Linked DNA regions of Caenorhabditis elegans. The protein of the gene in region 1 binds, or shares a complex with, the protein of each later gene. Each region holds a gene or a part of one and is shown in the gene's direction. Other genes may lie near its edges. The genes, in order: eif-3.H, eif-3.I and eif-3.B.

Region 1 (5,116 bases):
TTTTCTTGAAAAATCTAAAAAATTCTATAGGTATATTGAGGCTATTTTCTATTATTCAGGATTTTTAAAACATATTTATGTTTATTTTTTTTCAGGCTTTCATAAAAACCTTTTTCAATTTCCTTTTCCTCTTCGAGCCGAATCGAAAACGACGAGATATATCGTTTTTTGAGGGGACTTGTCGAACGATTTTCCGAATCTTGACGAACTCGTTTTTTGATTGGCGAAGTTATTGGCTTTTTCGTAGGTGATTTTGGAACGAACACGTCATCATCGATGGTACGGGTCTCAGAAATGCCACGTGGACGTAAACGTTGTGGAGTTAAAATTGGTGGCATGTCGGATGAAAAGAGACACTGAAATAATATTTTTTGTTATTTTCAGAAACTAGTTTTATATGATTGGGCGGCAAACGATTTTTTCCGGCAAATCGGCAAATCGCCGGAATTGAAATTTCCGGCATTTCGGCAAACTGTGCTGTTGCACTTTTTATTGGAAACTTCAGAATTTCAAGTTAAAGACGCGAAATTGTACGCCTCCTATTACGGGAACACAAAATTCTGATGATGCGTATTTCACAACATATTTGACGCGCAAAATATCTCGTAGCGAAAACTACAGTAATTATCTAAATGACTACTGTAGGTCGATTTAAGGGCTCGATTCTCGAAATGAATTAAAATTATTTATTCATCGATAGATATTTCCAAAATCAAGCCCGTAAATCGACACAAGCGCTACAGGAGTAATTTGATGAATTACTGTAGTTTTCGCTACGAGATATTTTGCGGGTCAAATATGTTGTGTAATACGCGTTCTCAGTATTTTGTGTTCCCGTAATATAAAAAAATATGTTCCTACTTCTATTTTGAAAAGTAAGGAAATTCTATGAAAATATCTAGAAAAACGGGAAAACATTTCAGATTGCCGGAATTGAAATTTCCGGCGAATCGGCATTTGCCGAAAAATCAAATTTTCGGAAATTCGCCGAATTTTTCGAAAAAAAATTTGCCGCCCAGCTCTGATATGATTCAGTTGAATATATTACCGTTAATGAAGATGTTCTCTTCCTCTTTAACACAGGAGTTAAGCTATTTCCAATTTCCATTCGTATTGGAACATCAAGGGACTGGGCCTCTAATCGTGGCATTGACCCGGATCTTCGGTATCTTTTAACTGGAGAACCAGGTGTTTCCACATCTTCTTCTTGCCTTCGAATCCTTTCAGGCGTCTGTCTCAACAGCATTGATCCACTACTAGATCGACGCATTGGCGGTGTTACTTGATCTTCCAGGCTTGGAATACTCTCCGGAGCCAGTTTTCGGATCGGTGTCTGGTGGTCCTGTTCTATCCGCAATGGAACCATTGGCTTTTTCTCCATTTTTATGGGTAATGCACTAGTCTTTGTTCGAGTTAGACTAGGTACACCGGCTCTTTTGAGACTCGCTGCTACAGAAACCATCGATGTTGAATGGGATAGGAAGGATGAGGACGATGATGGTGGTGGGATTGTTCTCTGAGACTATTATGAATATTATTAAACAAAAATGCTGGAAACTTGAGGGTTTTACCTCCAAAGAAATTGAAAAAGTCGATTTCAATTGGCTCATTCCCGCCATTCGTTTTAATCCTCCACGTGGACTTGGTGGAACCAATGGTGTCTGAAACAAATTTACAATTATTTTTTAATATGCATTTGGTTATAATATTAAATCTTCAAATGGATTCCAATAAAGCTAGTTTATTTAAGAATTGTGTTTTATTGATTTTTTTTTCATAAATGCGCTTACCTTTATTATTTCATTATTTGTAGGTTTATTAGGGTCGTTGGATGCACTCGATTGCATCTGAAAATATACAATTTCTCTTAAAAAGTTTCAAAAAGCATTTTAAAAAGTAAATCCCAAAAACAAAAGAACGACAAAAATTTGAATTCAAATCAAAAGATCACGCGCGGGTACGGTGTGCAATTGTGTGCATGCACTACAATTGACGCGCAGTTGCACACAACAACGGAAGGAATTAATTTCGTGGAGTGTTTCCTATTTTCAAGATTTTATTGATTATTTTGAGGTTTTTCTCGCCAATTTTCTGAAATTTATATTTTTAATTTTCTTTCGAAAAATTCGTGATGCTTAGATTATTGATTTTTCCTCTTGTGAGATGCATGTTATTGTTTATTGTTCTTTAGAAAATTTGAAAAACTAAATGCTCATCTTTCAGGGTTATCAAAAATGTCGACAGCAGTGACAATTACCGCTCCGAGCGTCAAGCATATCCTTTTGGATTCGCTTGTGGTTATGAAAATTGTGAAGCACGTGGACAGTGAACTTCATGCAGGAATTAGTGAGGTATATTATTTTAATTTAATTTCAAGCTTAACATGTAATTTACAGGTATCTGGAGACGCTTGTGCCGGAGTTCTCACCGGTCTTGTTTTCCTTGAAGATTCTCGCTTGGAAATCACCAATTGCTTCCCAACAGTTCGCAACGAGCCAGTTATGGATGACGATGCTAATGTAAAATTAGCTCATGCTAGTGATTCCAATATATTTTCTATTATAGGCCGCTCAACAATACGAAGAGCAAAAGCAACACGAGATGCTTGACATGCTCCGCAAATTCCGTACAATGAATATCGATTACGAAATCGTTGGATTCTATCAGTCTCATCAATTCGGAGCCGGTTTCTCACACGATCTCGTAGAATCTATGTTCGATTACCAGGCTATGGGCCCAGAAAATGTTGTTCTTATTTATGGTTAGACAGATTAATGAGGATAAATAATTAATTCTAATTGCTTTCAGATCCAATCAAGACTCGCCAAGGACAGCTTTCTCTAAGAGCCTGGCGTCTTTCCACCGCTGCTCTTGATCTCGCTTCAAAGAATGACTGGAGACCAGAATTGTATGGTTTTTGAGTTTAAAAATATATTTGCAAAGACATATCTTTTCAGGGTGAAAGCCGCTGGTTTGACATACCAGAACATGTTCGAGGAGTTGCCAATCATCATCAAATCCTCATATCTCAACAATGTTCTCATGTCTGAGCTTTCACTCGCTAAATCATGCTCTTCTGACAAGTACTCCACGAGACACTTCGATTTGGGATCCAAGAAGTCGCTTGAAAAGTCGGTCCGAGCTATGATGGCTAATGTTGATGAGCTGAACAAGTCAATTCAGTCGTTGACGAAGTACACTATTGACAAGCAAAGACATGATAATATGGTGTTCAGTCTGACGCAGAAAAGAGTAAGAATTTCGAATTTTGAAATTAAAAATATCCTGATTGTATCGCTAAAATTTATATTCCGAAGTGTAACGGCTTTCAAACCTAAAGTCTTGTTTTTTGAAAACCATTTTCCAACATATCGAGGCTCCACTAACTATAAAACCGGATGTGAGGGGTACATTTTCGGTGGAATAAAGGTGCCATTCACGATTTTCGAAAAAAAAATCTCTATCATTAAAAATTTATATTTTTCCAATTTCAGCAACAGGAGAACGAATCACGTGTGGCCCGTGGTGATCCAACAATTCCAATGGATGACATCAAGAGAATCAAGGCTCCACAACTCCAAACAAGAAATGGACTTTTGGATGAGCTTCTCGCCAGTTTTGACACCAACGCTCTCGCTGACTTCTCGAAGACTGTGACCAGCGAAAATATCACGAAAATGTTCATCGCTGAAGCTGTTGCTGAGGAGAAAGTCGCCGGAACAAAAGACAGAACTTTGAGCTCTGTCTCATCGACTCGTTAAGATTCCCAAATATACTCGTGTTTTTGTTTCCTCCCTGTTCCCTTTAATTTACTTTTTCTTTTCTAAAATATTTTTCTCTCGGTGAAAGGAATTTCATATTACATAAAACTAGTGACATAAAATAATGTCTCACTTTCAATATAGGGATATTGTTTTTCATCCAAATTTTTTTGCCGTATGAAATTCCTTTCTGGTATCCTTTTCCACCTTCCCCTATTTCGGATGAATTTTTGTTGTTGACTAATAGTAAGTTAAGATTTTAAAATTTCTATTGGTATTGTTCTTTTTAATTGAGTTTTCAAGTTTTTTCAATCAGTAAATCAAAAAAGTTAACAAAAAATTTATTTGTGAAACAAAAACAAAACAACCTAAACCTAAAATTCACCGGAATCACAATCCAATCAATCACCAAAGTAATCCTCCCTTCTTTGCTCCGTTCTCTTTCACAATGCTCTTAGGGTCCAAACGAGCGAAAATCTCAAGACCCGCACTTCTCTCCACAGCATCCAATGGAACATGGAACTTGGAAATTTCTACAGTATCCTCGATGACTGCGTTTGGCAAAATATAGGATTCCAGCTCGAATTTGCCGGGTGTCACTTCGAAAAGAGCAACTTTGAAGAAATGAGTTGGCACTGCAACGTTATTATCACCGATAACTTGATACTTGATATACTTTTTTCCATCTCCTTCAAGTTTTGGAAGGTAGAGGGGACCGGTGATTATGTAGGAGTTGATCATCTTTTTTGCGACTCTTCTGGAAATTGTAGAAAATTATTTTTAGTATTGTAAAGAAAAATCTTGGTACCAGCTGGTTTCAGACTGGGCTGTAGATTTTTCGTTTTTTTTTCTCAAAAAAATTTTCCAAAAGTTTCAAATTGTATTAATTTTTCAAAAAACAAAATTCTTTAGAGTTACGTGTTTTTGCGAAAAACTTCGTCGACGAGAAAAAAAATTATTTCACATTTTTCGCGTTTTTTTCCCGGCAAAAAACTTTATTTATTTTACCAACCTGCAGTGCATTTCCAAATCATTCCACTTATCGCGATTGAATCCTCGTCCAACTTGTGGGCTCATATTGCTCAAATAAAAAGTTTGATCGACCGCCAACTGACTCTTCCGATGATTTCCAGCGGCGGCGAGATGTCCACGATCGAATCCACTGCACTGAAACATTGGATGGTTCAGAAATATTTTTTATGTAATAATTACGAAGAACTAACCTTATAATCCGTATTTTGAGAAAGGAATTTCTGCGGGAAAGTGATATCTGGCTTGAATTCACAAAGCTTCCGATCCACACCTTCTGCGTGTTTTAATCGTTCTGGTGTAAGATGTTCGCAGACCTGGAAATT
Region 2 (7,111 bases), 2.0 Mb from region 1:
TTCTCATGTTCCCGTGGAGTAGAAAAGCCTAAGCCTAAGCCTTAGCTTAAGCAGTTGAGCTTCATCTCAAATTTGTGATTTTTGAGAATTATTTAAAGCTTCCGATTGAACAAAACTGCACAATTTCTGAAAAACGTGCTATTTCATCGTATTTTAGCTTAAAAATACGATTTTTTGCTCGAAAAATCGCTATTTTGACCAAAATTCAACGGAAAATTCAATTTTTCCATTAAAATTCCACTGAAATTCATATTTTTCGAGGTAAACCGCAGGTTTCGTTTGCTCCGATGAGCTGTTAGAGTTGAATGCCAGTGGACAACTTGATAATGGACAAAATGTGAAATGTAAGCAGAATAACGAAGGAGAACTCAGTTTTGAGTTCGGATCAGAAGCTCAGAAGAAGAATTAATTGATTTTTTAATGTCTTTTTTCGAATTTGGGACACGTTTTTGGTGCTTTTTGAGCTAATAAAGTTGATTTTTGAGCATTTTTTCATGATTTTAGGGTGTAAAAACCTAATTTTACACCAAAAAACTGGGTTTTTCGGATGAAAAATGCAACTTTCCAAGTTCCTTTGGAGCTTCCGAGCTTCATCTCAAATTTGTGATTTTTGAGAATTGTTTGAAGCTTGCGACAACACAATTCCTGGAAAACGTGCTATTTCATCGTATTTTTGCTTAAAAATACGATTCTAAGCACGGAAAGTTGCTACTTTGAACGAAGTTCAACGGAAAATTCAATTTTTCCATTAAAATTCTACTGAAAATCATATTTTTCGAGGTAAAATCCAATTTTCGCAGATTCCATTTGTTGATTTTTAAGCATTTTTTTAAAATGATTTTAAGGTGAAAAAATCCAATTTTCCCCGAAAAACTGGACTTTTCTTAAGAAAAATGCTAGATTTTTCCAGTTCTGGAAAGATTCCCACGTTCCAGTGGTGCTTTCCAGCAACTTTTTCACAAATTTCTGTTTTTTTTTTCAAAATAAACTGCTTTTTTTTTTAGAAATTATATATTTTTTGAGCAGAAAAAGTGAAAATTTCGATATATATTAGGCCTAAAATGGAATTTTTTGAAGAAAATTCAGAAAAAAATTAATTTATAAAAGAGAAAAATCGATATCTCAGCTACCGTAAAAGCTTTAAAGGCGCATAGCAAAATTTAATTCTAACTTTAGAGACTGTAGTTTTCGCTTCGAGACCACAAGCTTATTTTTCGCTCTAATTGGCTAAAAATTAACTTTTTCGAGGCAAAAATTTCTGGAATTAGCTTTAAAAAATGTGAAAATACATATTTTTAACCTAAAAATTCATGGAAATTTCTATAAAATGTTTTTTAAGGATTTTAAAACGTTTTTTTCAACAAATTATCGCAAAACCCCACATTTTTACTAAGAATCTGTGTGGCATTTCTGATGAGTGCTGGTGATTTTGTCAGTGACGAGAAACTGCGGTAAACTGCCTGAAAATCAATATTTTACCGGAAATTCTCGGGTTTTTTAACGATACCTGCGATCTGATAGTGTTTGACGCGTTCCGTAGGCCAGCTATTAGTCGTAATTGTAACATTATCGATCTCTGAAAACTGGATTCGGTGAAGCTTTCGCAAAAAAATCGATGAGAATTGAGAGTTGCGAAATTTAGCAGTTATTTGTGGTGGAACATGTTAAAATTTGAGTTTTTAATTAATATATTGCTAAAAATTTGATAAAATTCACTTTTTAATTGTTGAAAACTACTGAAAACCACTCGAAATTGCTGAAAATTGCTGAAAATCGAAATTTCGTCAGCTGATGTCGATTATTCTGCGCGGGGGTACGGTACGCAAGTCCGCAAACACTGTCACGCCAAATTGCGGAGGTTGAGCCAAATCCTATTTCTTGTTGTTTTTTCGCTTATTTTTCGAATATTTCCCATGTTTTCTGGCTTCTAATTTTCATTTTTTTAATGGAATTTATTAATAATTAAGCCAATAATTCATTTTATAATCAAAACTGCCGAATATTCCACCAATTTCTCGCAGAAACCTTCAAAAATAGGGGATTTCTTTCAGAAATGCGTCCACTTTCGCTGAAAGGCCACGAACGTGCTCTCACTCGGGTCCGTTTCAATCGTGAGGGAGATTTGACGTTCTCCTGTGCTAAGGACAAGAAGCCATGCGTTTGGTATACTGAAAATGGAGAGAGAATCGGTATTTTTGAATATTTTCGCGAAAAATTTTCGCAGAATTAAAGGTGGAGTAGCGCTAGTGGGAAAATTGCTTTAAAACATGCATATGGTACCACAATGACCGAATATCATGATTAAAAATTTCAAAAAAATTTTCTAAATTTTATATGATTTTTTGAAAATTGAAAAAATCTCAGTTTTTGCCTAATTTCAATTTTAATTACCGCCAATTGGATTTGTTCGATGGAGCGCGCTTGCACGTTTTTAAATTTATTTATTTTATTTATTGTTATTTTCCACCGATTTTTAATGTTTTCGGTGTATTTTTGCTTGAATTTTAGAGAAAAAGTCAAAAGAATTGCAAATTTTCAATTAAAAAGCACGCTTACAGGCGTAAATCAGTGAAATTTATTAATTCAGGTTCGAAATCGTTTAAAAGCGTTACTTTTCATTTTTTACGCCTCTAAGCGTGCTTTTTAATCGAAAATTTGCAATTATTTTGACTTTTTCTCTAAAATTCAAGCAAAAATACATCGAAAACATTAAAAATCGTTGGAAAATAACAAAAAATAAAATAAATAAATTTTAAAACGTGCAAGCGCGCTCCATCGAACAAATCCAATTGGCGGTAATTAAAATTGGAATTAGGCAAAAACTGAGATTTTTTTCAATTTTTCAAAAAATCATATAAAATTTAGAAAATTTTTTTGAAATTTTTAATCATGATATTCGGTCACTGTGGTACCATATGCATGTTTTAAAGCAATTTTCCCACTGACGCTACTCCACCTTTTAAATATATTTATTTATTATTTTTCTTTTCAGGTAGCTACGACGGGCATAACGGAGCCGTGTGGGATATCGACGTCTCATGGGACACTACCAAGTGTGTCACCGCGTCCGGAGACCTCACCGTGAAGATTTGGGATGCCGAGCTCGGCAACTGCCTCTACACAATCAACCATCAGACTCCGATGAAGTCGTGCGGATTCTCGTATTCAGGAAATTTGGTGTGCTTCACCACACAAAAGATGACAAAGAATCTCTCGACGTTCCAAGTCCGAGATCTTCGTGATTCAAGTCAAATGGTTGAGGGTGGAGAGTCATTCTTCTACTCACAATTCGATGTGAACGCCACGACCGCACTTTTCACTCAGATGGATGACCTCGTGACGATCGGATTCGAGTCTGGACTCCTTCAGCAGTACGATTTGAGAAATCCGGATACACCAATTCACACTAACGAGAGTGTTCATCGTGTTCGTCATTTTTTCGTTGTTCTCTGGAGCGCTTGCTGACACTTTACGATCTCCTGAATTGGCGGAAATTTTATTGCTAATTTTTGGTTTTTATTGTTGTGGGGAAACATTATTAGAGCCGAAAGTGTGTACAATTTGGAAAATTGGCGAAATTTCGCATTAAAAAACCGTGCGCGGCACAGTTGCGAAGAAGGCGTGCCAGGGTTGCATCCTGACTCCGCACACAAGATTAAAACCAAAAATTCGAAGAAATAATTTAGTTTTCTCGAAAAATGGAACAAAATCGGCAGTTTTTTCGATTTGAAAGCCGTGAAAATCTCATTTTGAAGAGAAAAAGCAGCAAAATCCGGCAGTGATTGATTATTTTGATTATTCTAATTTTTTTCAATGAAAAAACCAATTAAATCAATTAAAACTGTATTTTTCTCTACAAAAAATGTATATTTTAAAATTCTGAAATCAAAAAACTCCCGATTTTTGATGTAAAACCTTAAATTTTACGCGTTTTCGAGTCGTATAAAGCTTCCCAACAACAATATCCATCAAAAATTTATATTAATTTCCATAGAAACCAAAATTAGCAAAAAAACCTTATTTCCCGTGGAAACAAAATTCCGCGAATTCGGGAGTTCGTGAGGTGTCAGCAAGCGCGCTCCAATGATTATAAGACCGAGGCTCCACGAAATTCAAGATCTTGTGGAATTCCGGATCTGGCACCGTACCAACTCAAAAAAAATTAACGCAATTTTTCTGGAAAAAATCCTGACAACGATGCTCCGATGTTACGCATCGCGTGTTGTTTAGCGTTTTTCCTGAAGAAAATTTAAAAAAAAACCACATTTTTCTTCGAGAAAACTGCGAAAACTGCAGTTGGCACGGTGCCAGATCCGGAATTCGACGAGATCTTTAATCCGTGGTGCCTCCGTGATTTCTAAAATAATTTCAAAAAAAAAATTTCCCAAAATTTCAGTACAGCGTCCAAGATCTCCAACTATCACCACGCGGCGATTTCCTGATCTCCGCTTCACGCGACAAGACGGCCGCCCTGCTCGACGTGAACGATCTGAAAAAGCTGAAACAATACAAATCCGAGCGTCCCGTCAACTCGGCATGCATCTCACCGAATCGCGATCACATTTGCCTTGGAGGAGGAGAAGACGCGATGCAGGTCACACAGACGTCTGTCTCTGCTGGACACTTTGAAGCCAAGATCTATCATATGGTGTTCGAAGAGGAATTCGCCAGATTCAAGGGACATTTCGGACCGATTAACACGATGGCCTGGCATCCATCGGGCACAATTATCGCGACTGGAGGAGAAGACGGTATGGGGATTCCACTGCAACTTTTTTTTTGAACGAGGGACGAGGAAATGCGGTTTCTAGGCCATGACCGAGGATCCGACAAGATTTATCAGCAATTTATCTTGCTTTGTTTTCCGCGTTTTTTCTTTTATTTTTCACCGATGTTTCCCCCGTTTTTTCTTATTAAAACTGATGAAGAAATATTGTTTTTGCAGATGCTAAAATAATTTTCAAGTGAAAAAATTGTGAATTCAGCCGGCAAGTAGCGGTGGAAGTGGTCAATGTAATATGATGGATTACGGGAATACTAAACCTAAACTTTCTTCCAAAACATGCTATAAATGCTGCTTAGATGCTGAAACTACCTGATTTTAATAACGAGACCGCTGAAAAAGTTTTGAGATTTTCAAAATTCAACCTTTTTGGCGAAAAAGTCGAGATTTTTCCACAAAATGTTGAATTTTGAAAATCTCAAAAAACTTTTTCAGCGGTCTCGTTATTAAAATCAGGTAGTTTCAGCCTCTAAGCAGCATATGTATCATGTTTCGAAAAAAGTTTAGTGTTTAGTATTCCCGTAATCCATCATATTACATTGACCACTTTCACCGCTACTTGCCGGCTGAATTCACAATTTTTTTCACTTGGAAATTATTTTAGCATCTGGTTTTAAAAAAATTTATTTATCAGTTTTAATAAGAAAAAAACGGGGGAAAAATCGGTGAAAAATAAAAGAAAACTCGCGGAAAACATTGCAAGATAAATTGCCGATAAATCTTGTCGGATCCTCGGCCATGGCCTAGAAACCGCATTTCCTCGTCCCTCGTTCAAAAAAAAGTTGCAGTGCGATTTGAGGATTTTTCATATAAAAATTCAAAAATTATTGATTTTTTTCCAGGTTACATCAGAATTCAAGAGTTCGACGAGGACTACCTCGGCTTCACCTACGATTTTTAATTTGTTCTACGTTTTCGTTTTCTTCCTGTTTCCCGGGCGATCGTATTTGCCAAAAAAAGACCGTTTCCCCCTTTTTCCTACTCGTTCCTGTTGAAAACCGCCTAATTTTAGAGTTTAAATGACGAATTTAAGCCTATGCAGTTCGGAAAACCTTTAAAATTTATCAAATTCTAAAATTACGCGGTGGTGATTTTCTGTTTTTTCCATTTTTTCCATATTTAAGATCAATTTTCGGTGGCTTTTAATTGTTTTTTTTTTCATAAATAAATATTATTTTGAGTTAAAATTGATCTATTCCCTCGAATTTCTTGGTTTTAATCTCCAATTATTATATTTTTAAAAAAAATTAATTTTTTCTCAATTAAAAATTAAGAAAAATTGTGGGCGGAGTCAGAATGCAACCCTGGCACGCTTTTTTCGCAACTGCCGCGCACGATTTTTCCTGCAATTTTTAAATATTTTTACCCAATTTTCAGCGTTTTCAATGCCTCACACAAACGGAAAAGGCGGCGGAGCACAGAAATGGGCTGGAAATAATAAAAGAAAACGAAATTTCGATGGCGAGCAGGATCCAAGTGTCAGAAAAGCGTTGAAGGAGAAGCGGCTTCTGAAAAAGAGAAAACAGGATTTAAAGGGACAGGAGGAGACAATGCTCGACGAAGTTGAGCAGAAATATCAGGAAATGCTCAAGGTAGCTCTAAAAAATAGTTTTTTTATTAAAAAATCGATTTTTCCAGAAAAGCTCCCGCACATTTCTCCGCTTCGAGGATTTCCCGCTCTCCTGGAGGACACTGGAGGGTCTCAAGGATAATGACTACACAAAACCCACAGAAATCCAACGGGACACGATTGCCTACTCTCTGACCGGCTCAGATGTCGTCGGAGCCGCAAAAACCGGCAGCGGAAAGACTCTGGCACTGGTGATCCCCGTGCTGGAGGCTCTTTGGCGAGCAAAATGGTCTCCAGACTATGGTCTCGGAGCGCTAATCATTTCACCGACACGAGAGCTGGCTCTTCAGACATTTAGCACAATTAACGCCGTCGGAGCCCATCACGGATTCTCGTGTGGCTTGGTTATCGGCGGAAGTGACGTGGCATTCGAGAGAAATCGCATCAGCGGGATTAATATCATCGTTTGCACACCGGGACGTCTCCTACAACACATGGATGAGAATGCTCAAATGAGCTGTGATTCGCTTCAAGTTTTGGTGCTCGACGAGGCGGATCGAATGCTTGATATGGGATTCTCGAAGCAGCTCAACTCGATCATTAATAATTTGCCCGCGGAACGTCAGACGCTGCTCTTTTCGGCTACTCAGACACGAAATGTCAAGGATTTGTGCAGAGTTTGCACAAATGTGAGGGATTTCGCCCGGAAAATTGAAATAATTCCGGAATGGTTCATTAATTGAATAGGAACACGGAAA
Region 3 (5,951 bases), on another chromosome or scaffold:
GCTCACCTTGTTTGAATCATGTACGATGCATTATCCGAAACGGCGAGCCTGTAGCACAATAGTGATAACACAGGGTTCCTCTTAACCAAAGCCGTCGGATCCGAAGATCTACTGGCGTTTGATCGAGTTGCCCGCCTTTTTCCTCACGGACTAGATCTCTACCCCACAATGGGATTAAACAAGACCGACCCTAGACAATCCTAGAGTCAGCTTAATCTGCCAGCAGAATCCACTGACCCTTGGGTGGCCGTCCCGTTTTTCAAGATTTCTAGGGATTTGCGACCTTTCTCACGTCACGTGCGTTACCCAGCACCGGCCAAGTGATGCAAGAAAGGGCTTGGAGGTCCACATCCAGTGAGTGCTTAGCTACAGCTAAACGACCACTGGAACAGGAAGTCCCCGGTGATGATCGTATTGAACTACACAACTTTATTGTAGTAAACTACACTACCGGTTATTATATCCAGACATAGTCTCCCGATGAAATACTCTCACTTGTTCAAGTGTGAAACCCGAACCTTGCTCTTGTACAGTTGATAAAACTAATGTAACTCAAAATATGAAACGGCCCAAGACTATGAAAGATATTTTAAGTTTCCAAGTTCTTTCTTAAATTCCAAAACTTCTTTGATTCAACAACTTTCTACTAAAACGCTCATAGCAAATCATCTGCAAGGACGAATCCATTGAGAATAATGTATACTAATCATCATGTTATAGTAAAAATTGCGTGATTTGTACAGTAAAAGGTCAGCAGCATTGTTGTGAGGACTACCCCCTTGGATTGTTGCTTGCTCTTTGATTGTTGAGCGGGCATCGACTGGAGCTCGGTATCGATTGTGCTAGCCAAATAAAAATCGATTAGAGGTGTGGCATTTGAAGAACATCAAATTTCTATAGATACGAAAGTGTCTATATGTATCAAGTAGCAGACTAAAAAAATTCCAAAAAAAATCGCCTACCCCACCTCTATTTTCGATTTTAAATAACCAGTCATTCGATTGAGCGCGCAATTGAGTGCCGCTAGGTCATCAAACAGGGCCGCTCATCGCAAAAACATAGCTTGACAAAATGCTGCTGTGTTACCGTACTAATCATGGAGAACCAAGAATCATCAATCATGAAAAAGCAAGACGATCCGCAGAAGAATAAAAAAGAACTGCTAAAAATCATTTGTGGTTTTGCCTTTAACTTTTCGTTTTATACAAGCTATCCCTTCCGTCGAAGCTGGCAGATTTTGTACCGGCAATACTCTCACTTTTTCCAATGTAAAGCCCAAACCTTTCTGTTGCACAGTCGACAAAACTCATCTAACTCAGAATATGAAACGACCTAACCCTGTCAGAGATATTTTAAGTTTTCAAGTTCTTTCTTAAAATCCAAAACTTCTTTGATTCAACAACTTTTTACTGAAACACTCATAGTCCATACTCTGCAAGGACGAATCCAAAGAGAATAATGTAAACTAATCATCATGTTACAGTAAAACTAACAAAAACACAACTCCGTATCCAGACATAGTCTTCCGATGCAATACACTCACTTTTTCCAATGTAAAGCCCAAACCTTTCTGTTGCACAGTCGACAAAACTCATCTAACCCAGAATATGAAACGACCTAAGACTATCAGAATTATTTTAAGTTTTCAAGTTCTTTCTTAAAATCCAAAACTTCTTTGATTCAACAACTTTTTACTGAAACACTCATAGCAAATCATCTGCAAGGACGAATCCATTGAGAATAATGTATACTAATCATCATGTTATAGTAAAAATTGCGTGATTTGTACAGTAAACGGTCAGCAGCATTGTTGTGAGGACTACCCCCTTGGATTGTTGCTTGCTCTTTGATTGTTGAGCGGGCATCGACTGGAGCTCGGTATCGATTGTGCTATTTACTTAAACAACTGATCGATAAATATATTTAAAATGTACTCGCTGCCGCGTTCTCCGGAAAAAAGGGCAAATGTCCGCATTTCTTCGTAAAGTCTGGTGTTTGCGTACACCCATTTTTCTTTCATTAAATATTTATAAATGCATTGATTCGCGTTTGAGTTTCAAAATTATCTCTATTTGAAATTCCGCGCAAATCTCATGGACGCGGCCTAGGATTCTCTTCGGTCGAGCGCTTGCAACGACGCTCCGTTCTCCCGCATGGGTGTTGTTTAGAGTTTGTTCATATTCCAAATATCGGTCCTATTTTTCAGATTTTCCAGCGTTTTCCAACATTTTTCCACAATTTTCGGAGAAAATTCTGTAAAAATTCAACTTATCTCGTTTTTCCTTCCATTTTCCTTTAAAATATCTCACAATTTACTCAATAAACCGTGTCTAAAGTTTCAGACTAGTTGGGTTACACAGAATGGTCGAAATTGACTTTAATAAAGAGAACGAAGAAGATTTTTCGGATCCGCCAGGATTTGTTGACGACGTCACCGATGATGGTTGGTTTTTTATTCAATTTTTTGAAATCAATTCCAAAAAATAGCCAACAATCAATGTTTTTATTTCAGTTCTCGTTCCTGACGTTCTCCACAAGAAACCAACTATCGATGAATTTGAAGACAATTGCGTCTTCATCGCGGGAATCCCAGTTGTTGGAGCTGACCGTCTTGGAAAACTCCAAAGTGTACTGAAGAAGGTTCTGGAGAGGTTGGATCCTGCAGTGAAGCTCTACATTCCGCCAAGTCCAGAAGGAGGTTGCTTGGTGAGATTCACGCAAACGATATCGATTTTAATATATTTTTTCCAGGGAGTTCTGCTCACCGAGTGGGCCGATCAACGATCCGCTCAGTTCGCCGTGAAAAGTTTGAATGGATATGCTTTCGATAAGAATCACACATTCACCGCCCGTTCTTTCAAGGATATGAAGCAACTCGAAGCTCCTTCCGATCACTGGACAACTCCAGAGAAGCAGGCTTATAATGACGTTGGAGATCTCTGGTGGTGGCTTCAAAACGAGCGTTGCCGTGATCAGTTCGCAATTTCCCACGATAAACTTGGAGTTCCAACTGTCGGAGTGTTCACCAATATGAAGGGAAATGATCCAGAGCTTGCAGGAGATGCCGATAAGGCTGAAAGAGCTGTAAGTTTTGAGAATTATTTGTTTTTAAAAAATGAAATAATTTTTTTTTCCAGAACTGGACCGAAACCGTCTTCACTTGGTCACCACACGGCTCCTACCTTTCCACGATCCATAAGCAAGGAATCATACTTTGGGGAGGCAAAGACTACGCTCGTGCCCACCGTTTCGCTCATACCAACGTTCAATACATTGATTTCTCGCCGTGTGAGACCTACCTTGTTACCTACGCCGCTCCGGAAGAGTCGAACAGCTGGGGAGACTGTGAGAAGGATAGTTTGAGAATTTGGGACGTCCGAACCGGAGAATTGAAGAAGGCCTTTTCCACTTTCGAGCTCACCGGAAGAACTCAGCTCCCAACCTGGCCATTCTTCAGATGGTCATTCGATGAGAAGTACTTCGCGTGCCTCAAGGCTCCAGAAAAGGATAAGCTTGAGCGTGAGCAGAAGATCAACGGAATTTCGATCTTCGAATCCGAGAAGTTCGAGCTCTATGAAGGCCGTCCCGTGAATATCGAGAATATCAAGCAATTCGAGTGGTCGCCAACATCCACAGTCCTCGCCTACTATTCAGAGTGCACTGACGCCGTTCCAGCCGAGTTTGGACTCTTGCAAGTTCCATCAATGCAGAGACTTCGTTCGGCTCGCGTTCACAATGTCGCCGACGCTCAGATGTTCTGGCAGAAGAGCGGAAAGCGATTGGCCTTCTACACGATGAGATTCAAGAAGAAGGAGTACAGAGAGACCGGAGAAGTCAAATATGTGGTAAGTTTTGAGTTTTTTAAAGGATTTTTTGAGGCCTATGACAATAATAATAATAATGATATAATTTCAGGGAGGATGCCAATACCACGTGGACATCTTCGAGATTGACAAGAAGGACGTTTCCCTTATGAATCTCCCACTTTCGGAGCCATTCATCCATTTCGATTGGGATCCAGAAGGCGATAAGTTCTGTGTGCTCGTGGGAAACACCGCTAAGGCCACTCCACAAGTCTACAAGATCGAGGCTAACAGCCACGCACCGAAGCTTGTGAGCAAGTTGGACGCTGGAGTTCACTTCAATGAGGTTCAATTCGCGCCGAAAGGAGGATGGCTTGCAGTTCTCGCCAAGGTGTCAGCTGGAGGAAACGTCTATTTCATTGATACTTCTTTGTCGGAGGCCAAGAGAACTAATGTTATAGAACATCCACTCTTCAATAAGGGATATTGGGATCCAACTGGAAGATACTTTGTGACATGCTCAACGTTGGGAGGAAGAGCCGGAGCCGATTTGGGTTACCGAATCTTCACATTCCAGGGAAGAGAACTGTGCAGAAAGAATCTCGACCGGCTCGCCCAATTCAAGTGGAGACCACGGCCGCCGGTGAAGTTGAGCGAACAGAAGCAGCGTGAGATCAAGAAGAACTTGAAGAAGACCGCCGCCAAGTTCATCAAGCAGGATGACGACGAAAAGTGCAGAGCCAGTCAGGAGGTTGTTGAGAAGCGACGCAAGATCATGGCTGCCTTCGATATTATTCGAAGCCGGAATCGCGAGCAACTCGACGCCACCCGTGACGAGAGAATCTCTCTTCGAAACGGCGTGGACACAGAAGCCCAACTCGACGAGGACGAATTTGTGGATGAGGAGATTACCATTGCGCTGAGCACAAGCAAAACACAAGCCCCTCTGACGGAGGAGGAGATGAGAGACTAATTAGTTATTTGATTTCCCGGTTTTTCCCCTTTTTTATGCGCTGCTTTTTCTTCCTGATTTCTCGAAGACTTGGAGCGGCGTCCCCTCTTTTTGGTGGTTCCACCATGTACTCGTTTTCGTTTTCCTCTTCATTTTCCCAGTCATGTCGTCATTTTCTGAACAACGCCTTTTTCTATGGCAAATTTAACTTTATGATGCCTGAATGGAGAAGGTTTTTTCAAGCTTCTTTTGGGCGGCCCTAATATTATTTAATTGTTTCTCTCTATCCACTTTAATATCTCTTGTTGCTCCCGTCTCTCCGTGTTTTCTGGTGGTTTTTGCCGATAAAATGTTGATGAATTAGTTGATGTTTCAGATTTTTTCCAAATAAACAGAAGTGAAAATTCATAAATTATATTTTTCAGCGCTATAAAATTGTGATTCTGAAAAAAAAATTCCACGTTTATTAAAAATTCCACAAATGGTGCAATGTGACGTGACGGTGTATGCACACTTTGCATTAAATTTGACGACAAATGTCTCATCGGGTTTTCTGTCAATTTTTAATCCACTTTCTCTATTTTACTCTGTTCTTTTTATACTTTTTTAAAATAAAATTTCTATAAAAAACTTTAAACTTCAATTTTAGCAATTAACCCGTTCATGCACTCATCGTTTTCGGAGCCAAATTCGCCGTTGAAAGAGGTGCTCGTAGATAAGTGGCAGACAGCCTCATGCAGCGATTTGGGCGAAGAATATGTAAAAGTAGGGGTTTTTAATGAGAAAATTTAACGAAAAAAAATCAATTTTTCAGCCGGGACCCCTGGCGAGAGCAAAATTCAACGCGTTGCGAAATAAACGCGAAGCAATTGATCGATTTTTGAAAAAGCACCGAAAAGAGGATCTCAGCTTATATATTGGTAATTTTTATTATAGAATTTGAATTTAAATTTATCAAAAAACGATTTTCAGACGAACTCCGCGATTTTGCGATTTCACCCGGCGGGCTTGTGGACGATGAGTTCCGCGCCGTCATTTGGCCAGTTTTATCCGCGAATTTAGTGCAAAACGATGATTTAGACGATGTTTCTTCGTCCTACGACTCGGATTTCGAATCTGCGCAGTCGGATTTCGACGAGGAGCCTGCTTATGAGGTTTTTACACTGAATATAAATTTTTTAAATATGAAATATAAG

Evidence for each region.
Region 2: eif-3.H (region 1) and eif-3.I share a complex: the UniProt entries of both Caenorhabditis elegans proteins name them as parts of the eukaryotic translation initiation factor 3 (eIF-3) complex.
Region 3: eif-3.H (region 1) and eif-3.B share a complex: the UniProt entries of both Caenorhabditis elegans proteins name them as parts of the eukaryotic translation initiation factor 3 (eIF-3) complex.

What each region holds. Positions count from the first base shown.
Region 1 is NC_003279.8:4,442,496-4,447,611, forward strand, and holds eif-3.H (Eukaryotic translation initiation factor 3 subunit H), read left to right. Parts: upstream 1-2,223; 5' UTR 2,224-2,234; coding exon 2,235-2,351; intron 2,352-2,396; coding exon 2,397-2,519; intron 2,520-2,565; coding exon 2,566-2,761; intron 2,762-2,808; coding exon 2,809-2,908; intron 2,909-2,957; coding exon 2,958-3,252; intron 3,253-3,494; coding exon 3,495-3,761; 3' UTR 3,762-4,118; downstream 4,119-5,116. Other genes in the region: C41D11.3 (Cysteine/serine-rich nuclear protein N-terminal domain-containing protein), read right to left, coding at 110-356, 1,049-1,522, 1,572-1,661, 1,791-1,847; cps-6 (Endonuclease G, mitochondrial), read right to left, coding at 4,167-4,518, 4,774-4,928, 4,985-5,107. UniProt on the Caenorhabditis elegans protein: Component of the eukaryotic translation initiation factor 3 (eIF-3) complex, which is involved in protein synthesis of a specialized repertoire of mRNAs and, together with other initiation factors, stimulates binding of mRNA and methionyl-tRNAi to the 40S ribosome.
Region 2 is NC_003279.8:2,483,816-2,490,926, forward strand, and holds eif-3.I (Eukaryotic translation initiation factor 3 subunit I), read left to right. Parts: upstream 1-2,045; 5' UTR 2,046-2,053; coding exon 2,054-2,189; intron 2,190-2,992; coding exon 2,993-3,426; intron 3,427-4,396; coding exon 4,397-4,751; intron 4,752-5,625; coding exon 5,626-5,684; 3' UTR 5,685-5,972; downstream 5,973-7,111. Other genes in the region: abtm-1 (Iron-sulfur clusters transporter ABCB7, mitochondrial), read right to left, coding at 1,383-1,460, 1,508-1,567; ddx-10 (ATP-dependent RNA helicase), read left to right, coding at 6,169-6,375, 6,422-7,042. UniProt on the Caenorhabditis elegans protein: Component of the eukaryotic translation initiation factor 3 (eIF-3) complex, which is involved in protein synthesis of a specialized repertoire of mRNAs and, together with other initiation factors, stimulates binding of mRNA and methionyl-tRNAi to the 40S ribosome.
Region 3 is NC_003280.10:14,793,068-14,799,018, forward strand, and holds eif-3.B (Eukaryotic translation initiation factor 3 subunit B), read left to right. Parts: upstream 1-2,336; 5' UTR 2,337-2,361; coding exon 2,362-2,443; intron 2,444-2,512; coding exon 2,513-2,706; intron 2,707-2,751; coding exon 2,752-3,084; intron 3,085-3,137; coding exon 3,138-3,845; intron 3,846-3,915; coding exon 3,916-4,776; 3' UTR 4,777-5,168; downstream 5,169-5,951. Other genes in the region: tbc-20 (Rab-GAP TBC domain-containing protein), read left to right, coding at 5,419-5,520, 5,570-5,675, 5,728-5,909. UniProt on the Caenorhabditis elegans protein: RNA-binding component of the eukaryotic translation initiation factor 3 (eIF-3) complex, which is involved in protein synthesis of a specialized repertoire of mRNAs and, together with other initiation factors, stimulates binding of mRNA and methionyl-tRNAi to the 40S ribosome.